Caenorhabditis elegans: one gene and its partner. The protein of the gene in region 2 interacts with the protein of the main gene of each other region in a pairwise test. Each region holds a gene or a part of one and is shown on either strand. Other genes may lie near its edges.

Region 1 (3,929 bases), 6.3 Mb from region 2:
ACTGTCAAGACAATAAAATTCGATAAAGTTGTATTTATTGGCGTATGGTTCTAAATTATCAACCTGTGCAAATCGAGCCGCAAATTCGCAATGATTTAGAAGTACTTGCTTCGGATCCATTGGTTGATTATGAAGAATATCAGAAAGACGTTTCGAATTCTTTCTGTAATCAGAATTATTGAGAATCATCTGGATCGTCTCCATTAGTTTCTTGCTATCGACAAGATCAAATTTGTCATAGACAATGGCACCACCATGGCGAGCTAACATCTCTGCATTTACTCCTTGATCACTGAATACAGGAACCTGAAAATATACGTTTGATACAAGAAGGTTAGCGGGTGGTAAAACATTTTTATATTCTAATCATGAATCTGGATGAAAAAATATTTCAAAAGTTTACAGGAAAATAGTGAAACCAGAAGTGAATTATCTCACTTACCATAATACTTGACACTCCTGCATATCCAACTTCCATAGTACTTCCCAAACCTCCATGAGTCACAAACAAATCTAATCGACTGTCTGCTAACAGAGCTGGCTGAGGAATCCACTTGCTTAAAACTACGTTTTCAGAAAGTTTATTCTTCAACGTCTTATCATCCTCTTCATATTTCCAGATAAATGTAGCATCTGGCATTCTGCGAAATGCTTCAATAAGTCCAGTTTTGAAATCATCTGGCATATCTGATGATTGAATAACTGTTCCAAAAGACACTAGAATGGTGTTGTTTCTGAGCGAAAGTATTTTGTTAAATTCTTCATCGAGTGTAGTTGTTTTGAATGATTCAATAGTGAAACCTCCAATTTGAATCACTTTTGAAATTGTTGGTGTTGAAAATGATAAGTAAGGATTGGAGTTTGTCAAGAAAAACGTGGAGCTTTGAAGTATTTCTTGCCAAGTTCGGACATTTCCACCAGTTAATCGGTAAGCTTGATCATATTGTTTATCAAACAAAATCCCGAATTGAAAGTGATAACCGGTTAGTCCAAGCATGTCACTTAATCGGTCAATTGCGCTCGATTTCTTCCCATAATTAGACCCCTCTGTTGGTAAGTAATTCAATGGAATAGGTTCACCCACAGCGTATGAAGCTGCTCCACATCGAACTCCACTATAGAGAGGGATTGGTGATTTTAGTTTCAAGAAGTCTCCAAGATCTAACATTGATTATTCACTTTGATTGTAAATTAAATTATTACTTACATAAACCACAAAAATCAAATGCCTCTGATATGTGGGAGTCAAAGTTTTTCGATAGAATCCAACGATGAAGTTCCTTGTCCAAAAGCATTTCTAAAAATTGATGAATGCATTTTTGAAACAAAACTATGAATCTTACTTCTACAAATATGCTCAAACTCTTTGTAAAGTTTTTCTGATGTAATTTTTGCAGAAGAGATTGGGTTTTTAGATCCTTTTGCTTTCCAGAAAAACTTGAAAACACTCGCTTCAGAAGCTGCAGCTTTTTCTTCTTCATCGACTTCATAATTAATCACTTCAATGTTCGGATTCTTCACAATTTTTTTGTGTGCATAGTAATCATAAATTATTGGTTGGAATAAAGTCTAAAATCGAACTTATAAGAAATTTAATATTTAAATAAGTAAACCTTACCACATTATGTCCAGCATCAGCAAGGATGTCTGCAATTCTTCCCATAAATTTCATATGACTGTACCCAAAAACTGGGGAAATAATAAGATAATTGAACCCGAAAGCAACGGGAAAAAATGCTAATAATAATAAGTACCTCATTTTGAGTTCGAGAATTAGACTTCAACATATTCTCTTAATTTTTTTCAGGCATTTTATACCACTCAGACTAAGTTCAGTTGCAAACTTTTCAAATGATCAGCGCCCGATTTGAAACCGTCTCTTGCATTTTAACATTATCTCTCTTTACTTGGAGTGTCTATTTCTATGTTCTCTGTTCTCGATGAAAAATTACAAGAAACAAAAGACGTAAGAAAAATAAAGAAATGGAATGTGTAGTCAGCATTAGAGTATGTATTCATGTAAGTAGTTCATCTCGAAAGTGTCCAAAAATGTTTGTCAATTTAGAGATTTGCCTGAAATTTGCTTTGATAATTTTTATAAGTTTATTATGAAAATCTAGTTTTACTCTGGTAAATCTATGCCTCCAATAGACTTCAAAAACATTGGCTTCACGTATCCAAAACTATCAATTATTGTTCCTGTCTGATGTCTAATACATGGAATTTTTCAAATTTTTTGTTATTCTGTGAATTTGTTGATCAATTGTGACAGTATGAAGTATGACAGTTCTACCTATGTTATTGGGTTTCTACAATTCTTGGAATTATTGTAACCGCGACAACGAAAGTTATTTGTTTATATATTAGGTTGAACCGGAAGTCTTTGTGACTTTTTCAATCGTTTATTTCTCGGAGCAAGAGAAACGACAGAATAATATTTATTTGCTATTATTATCAGCAATGTACTGCCAACGTGTGGGCAACTTATGAAGGCCCTGCTCACAGAACCCTTCCAGGCGCGAGTCGAAATAATGCTTGAGTGCCAATTCGACACTTCCATGGGTATTGAAGGTTCTTTCCCGGAGATCACGAGTCATATCTGAAAACTGTCAGTATGCAGATGGGGCATGGTCTGAAGAATACGGTGGGTGAAGGAAAATCATCCATTCATACCTGACCAGTTCCTGCAATACTTGTTTCGTGACGTAGGGATAAGCGTTGTTTTGTTGAAAGTAGAGTTGCTCGTCCTTCAGGGGTGAACGATTGAATATGTTCCTTAGGTTTTGTGGTTAGATAACTTAAAGGTCCCCATTAACTATTTTGCCCCCAGGAAGCAGTTCCCAGTTGATGGGGCCGTACACTCCCCACCACACTGAGAGCATGACGTTTTTGGGGTTAAGGTCGGGTTTGGCGGCACCCTGTGGGGTTTCTCCTTCTACAAACCACTGGGCACGCGTGTGGTTCTTATCATGGAGGACCCACTTCTCGGTTCCAGTGATGAGTCGGCCCAAACATCGATCGGCCCCATGGAGAGTGAGGGGTGAAATGGAATCATCCACTCAAAAATCATGGTTGGCTTGTGTCGAAGAGTGAGGTATGAATCGACCCATAATTTTCTTCATTCCAAGAGCTTCCCAGCCCCGTACGATGATGGTTTGATAGGATTGAAGTGCGGTTGACAGCTCACGGGAGGTTTGGAAAGGATCCGTTGCCATGGCTTTCTGCAACGTGTCCAAATCCAATTTATGGGGTCTCAGAGTCTTCGAGAGAAAAGTCGTCCTTTTCGAAGTGATGGAACCAAATGTATATAGTATTATAGTGGCGGACATGTCGATGATAAACATCCTTCAGGAGACTTTCCGAATCCTTCATCGTGGTATGAGAGAGAAAAAGGTGCATCGAACCATGTCGGATGTGGATGGCACTAGATAAATACATTGTCGGCTAACTGAACTCAGACCAAAGGGAAAGGAGTGGGGTGATTTTCAAAATGAAGTTCCTTTACTCGTTGTTATACCCTAGCAACAAGGGAACACCAAAGTGCAACTGCGGCTAGCGTTGGAAAAGCAAACCCAGTCACAAAGATTTCCGGTTCAACCTAATATTTTGCAGAAATTTATTTTGTAAGTTTATTCTGGTTCCTGAGAGTTAATACTGATAACTAATTTCAGTAAAACATGGAAGAAGATAGAATATCAACTAATTTTTATTGCGAGTTAGGCGTTTGCAGAACATATGTTGAAATTTTCTTTGTTTAGGTGCTATTTATTTTATAAGTACTATAATTACGTTAATATTATCAGAAATTGTTTCGAAGTTTCATTCTTTGTCGGTGTTTTTTCTAACACGTTCCTAGAAATGAGATCTTGGATTGCCGCAATTATTTCAATAGAAAGAATGATGGCCACAAAAAAGTGATTCGATTACTT
Region 2 (3,929 bases):
CGATGGTTCATACGGAATCCCACAAGGACTCATTTTCTCATTCCCAGTTACCATCGAGGGTGGCGAATGGAAGATTGTTCAAGGTCTTAGCTTCGACGATTTTGCCAAGGGAAAGATCGCTGCTACCACCAAGGAACTCGAGGAGGAGAGAGATGATGCTCTAAAGGCTTGCGATGATGCCAACATCTAAATTTTCCCCATAAATTATAACGATTTCCCAACCGCTCCCTTAAACTTAAAATGTAAAAAAAGAAGTAGGCCGTCTTGTCGTTTTTGTAAATGTATTATGTATTCAGTTATTGAACAATGAATTTATTGCATCTTCGGATCGAATTGTTTCAATCTATCTTTCGAAATAACTTGTGACTCGTTTCTGATTTCGTATATCTGTTTATTTCTGGAAGCTAGCAATCAATCTGCCAACGTGGAGGATATGGGTTTGCAAGAATAAAGAAGAAGACAAATCATCTGTACAGAAAGCAGGTTCTAGGCGAGAGAATCGCGAGAAGTAGCGAAATGAGGGTACGAGGAAGAGGCGGTGTGTTGACCATTCATTCCAGCAATCCTTATTCCTTCCGTGTTGGATAACGACCTGTCCCCAGGCGTTTCTATGGCTTTTTCCTCCCATTTTGATCGTTGAAACAGAGATGTTTGCTTTTTTAGAATTAAATTTATGCAACTTTTTAGACTGTGCACTTAAATAGAAGATCTAGAAATAATTAAACGAATTTTAAATGCATAGTCGCAGTAGTAATAGTAAATTGACTAAAGAAAATCATTTTTTAATTTTTAAACAATTTTTAATGAAAGTTTATCTCTGAATCTTTTGAATATCCCTTGTGTAAATTTGTACTTGACCAATTGTTCCAAATTTGTAAATATCAGTTTTTGCAGAAGCAACTACTTTTCGTTGAAAAAATTCACTTTTAAAATAGTGAGACTAGGTGAAAATGTTGTGAATTTTGGCATTTATAGCTACCACGATCGTGGCGAGACCCACTCAGATTAACAGCGTGTGCCTTTAAGTGACTTTTGACTTTTTCCCTAAATTACGATATTAAAAAACTTCCCATGCTTTTTTTTTCATTTTTTAAAATCAAAATTTGCCACAATAGTAGGATTGGAATTTATTCCATGTTTGAGGCTTCTCTAAAAACAAATTTCTAAATAATTTAGAGTTTTGTTTTAATCTTTTCTTTCTCCTATTTCACTTCTTAAATCTCATTTTCTTATCTTGGCAAAGTAACCTAATAGTCAAATCGATTGGCTTGTTGATCTTCACCATAATTTGACCCAAATCAGCTCGCCGCGTCGGTTTTTTTTAATTGACCGATTAGTCGCTATCACAGACGCTATTCATTAATAAACGTCAGCAGGAAGACCTAGTAATCTAGTTATCCACTTCACAACTCGATCAATAATTGCGGATCGGCGTGTTTCAACGAATACGGGAAGACAAGAGAGAGATAAGTTGTTTTTAGTGTGTGTGTATGGGTGAGTGTACGACAGTACCTACATACTGGAGGGGGAATATCCTTGACCCTTTGAGCGCGGACGATGCGACTTCCACCTTCTTTTTAATACATGCTCTGGATACAAGATATCTACCCATTTTTGTTTCTTTTTCTTTGTAGAAATTAATTATTGATCTGTAACTGTGAGGGCAGCAAAAATATTATAAGCCGATTATTTTTTCGCAATTCCAAAATGGACAATATGACTTGCATAATTTGATTACTGAAAAAAAGTGGGCCTTTATAATTTCGACATGAGCATTAACGCTCATATTTTCTGTTAGACAAACAATCTGTGGGTATTTGGTATTTGCAAATAAATATATTTGCATTGGCATTACAGAATCATACTATTTCCCCGCTATTCTGCAAGTTGTGTACAGGCTCAGTTGGTCTACTCTTGATGTTTTGATAGTTGTCTCTTTTTGGTTTTTTTCCTGTAGAAGATGGCTAGTAATACGTGGCTTAAGAACAAGATGAAACCGGTAGCCTTCTTTTTTCTCTTTTCGAACTGCAAAACGAACTGCGGCGACGGCGATAATGTGTGTGCGTGTCTGCCGACCGTACACCCCGCCGCCGAGATATATCCCTTCACTCCGACCGACGTCTTCCTCTTGTGTCTTCTCTTCACACCATAGGCGCTGCTTTTCGTTTTCAATCTTCCGCTTTCTATGTTTCTCTACATTCCTTCAATTCTTCATCATCCTTCCTGGTCACTCTATGACATCTATAAAACAAGTCAATTCCAGAATGCTGCTCCGATTGCTCGCCGTGCTCGGACTTTTCGCCGTTGGAGTCTCGGGGGGACCTACCAGATCTTCCAAGCTCGTCTTTCTCAATGAGGAAAACTGGACAGATCTTATGAAGGGAGAGTGGATGATTGAATTGTAAGTTGTTTCATTGAAAGCTCCAATTTGGAACAATGTATATAGTTTGTACTTGGTAGAATTAACTACTAAGGTTCTCAAGCATACACTTTAAAAACATTTTAATTAGTTACAAAACTACAAAATTGATAACTGATAAATTTTTAAAAATCCGCCGAGATGAAAATCTCAATTAAATTCCATCTTACTAGTACCTATGATATGAAAAGATATAGAGTAGAATCTTTTCATAATTTGAATTCACTGTTGGTTATTAGAATCTTTCTAAATAGCTATAGAAGAGTTAGGTCTAGATCATTTGAAAAAAATAACTTTTAAAATTCCAGCCATGCTCCATGGTGCCCAGCTTGCAAGGATCTTCAAAAAGCATGGAACGCATTCGCCGACTGGTCTGATGATCTTGGAATCAAGGTTGGAGAAGTCGATGTTACCGTCAATCCAGGACTTTCCGGTAGATTCCTTGTCACAGCTCTCCCAACAATTTATCAGTGAGTTTTTGAAAGCTATTTATTTCTACAAAAATCGAACGTTTTTTTTTTCAGCGTCAAGGATGGTGTCTTCCGTCAATATTCTGGAGCTCGTGACAAGAATGACTTCATTTCATTCGTCGAGGATAAGAAATACCGTGTGATCGACCCAGTTCCAGACTACAAGCATCCAAACTCTAAGCAGTACGCTTTTTTGTGGCACAGCAAAAATAATATTATAATTTTTTTCAGAATGGCCGTCGTTGCCGTCTTCTTCAAACTTTCGATGTCGGTTCGTGACTTGCACAACCATCTCGTCGAAGATAAGGGAATCCCATCATGGGCCAGCTACGGACTCTTCGCCGGAGTTACTCTTGCTCTCGGATGTGTTCTTGGATTCGTGAGTTTTTTAAATAGAAATTTCTGTAAACATCGTGATTTCCAGTTCATCGTTATCATCATCGACCAAGTATTCCCTACTGGACCAAGAAAAAGCCAACAAGCCAAGAAAACCGAGAAGAAAGACGCAAAGAAAGGTACTTTAAAATATTCGGATTCTGATTTCTAAAAATTTATTTATTTTCAGATTCTGGAACTGAATCTCCGACAAAGAAAAATGGAAATAACAATAATGGCAAAGAAACGAAGAAGACCAAGTAAATTCTATGCAACTTCCAAAAACCCCAATTGTTTTACCTTTTGTGCATCTTGTTATTTTATTTCAAATTATAATTTAAAAACTTCAAAATGTTTCATATTTATCCCAAACCAGCAGTCTCTGCCCCAAGTTTTTGAATTTTAAAAAATTTGTTAATTATAAGTATTGCCGTCCCCCAAGATATATATAAGTCACTTCTTCCTATGGGTTCCCGTCTTTTTTGTCTCTTTTGTTTTCACCAATGCTTCTCTCCTTCTGCGCATTTCATTTCGGACTCTGCAACGACGACACGTAATTAAAGCGACATCTCTTGCTGCGAGAGCCAGTCGGTGCTGGTCGAGTGTGTGTTCGCTTTGGCGTCGTCACGCCTTCTTTCCCTGCTGCTTTTCGCTCCTCATTCAAT

Evidence for each region.
Region 1: the proteins of dpy-11 (region 2) and ugt-3 interact in a two-hybrid assay, tested with the Caenorhabditis elegans proteins (one large-scale study listed by BioGRID).

Annotation. Positions count from the first base shown.
Region 1 is NC_003283.11:12,798,435-12,802,363, forward strand, and holds the start of ugt-3 (glucuronosyltransferase), read right to left. Parts: upstream 1,838-3,929; 5' UTR 1,760-1,837; coding exon 1,619-1,759; intron 1,570-1,618; coding exon 1,344-1,569; intron 1,298-1,343; coding exon 1,208-1,297; intron 1,162-1,207; coding exon 443-1,161; intron 307-442; coding exon 1-306.
Region 2 is NC_003283.11:6,511,681-6,515,609, reverse strand, and holds the start of dpy-11 (Thioredoxin-related transmembrane protein 1), read left to right. Parts: upstream 1-2,263; 5' UTR 2,264-2,264; coding exon 2,265-2,401; intron 2,402-2,727; coding exon 2,728-2,889; intron 2,890-2,943; coding exon 2,944-3,072; intron 3,073-3,120; coding exon 3,121-3,268; intron 3,269-3,313; coding exon 3,314-3,404; intron 3,405-3,454; coding exon 3,455-3,528; 3' UTR 3,529-3,929. Other genes in the region: mdh-1 (Malate dehydrogenase, cytoplasmic), read left to right, coding at 1-190.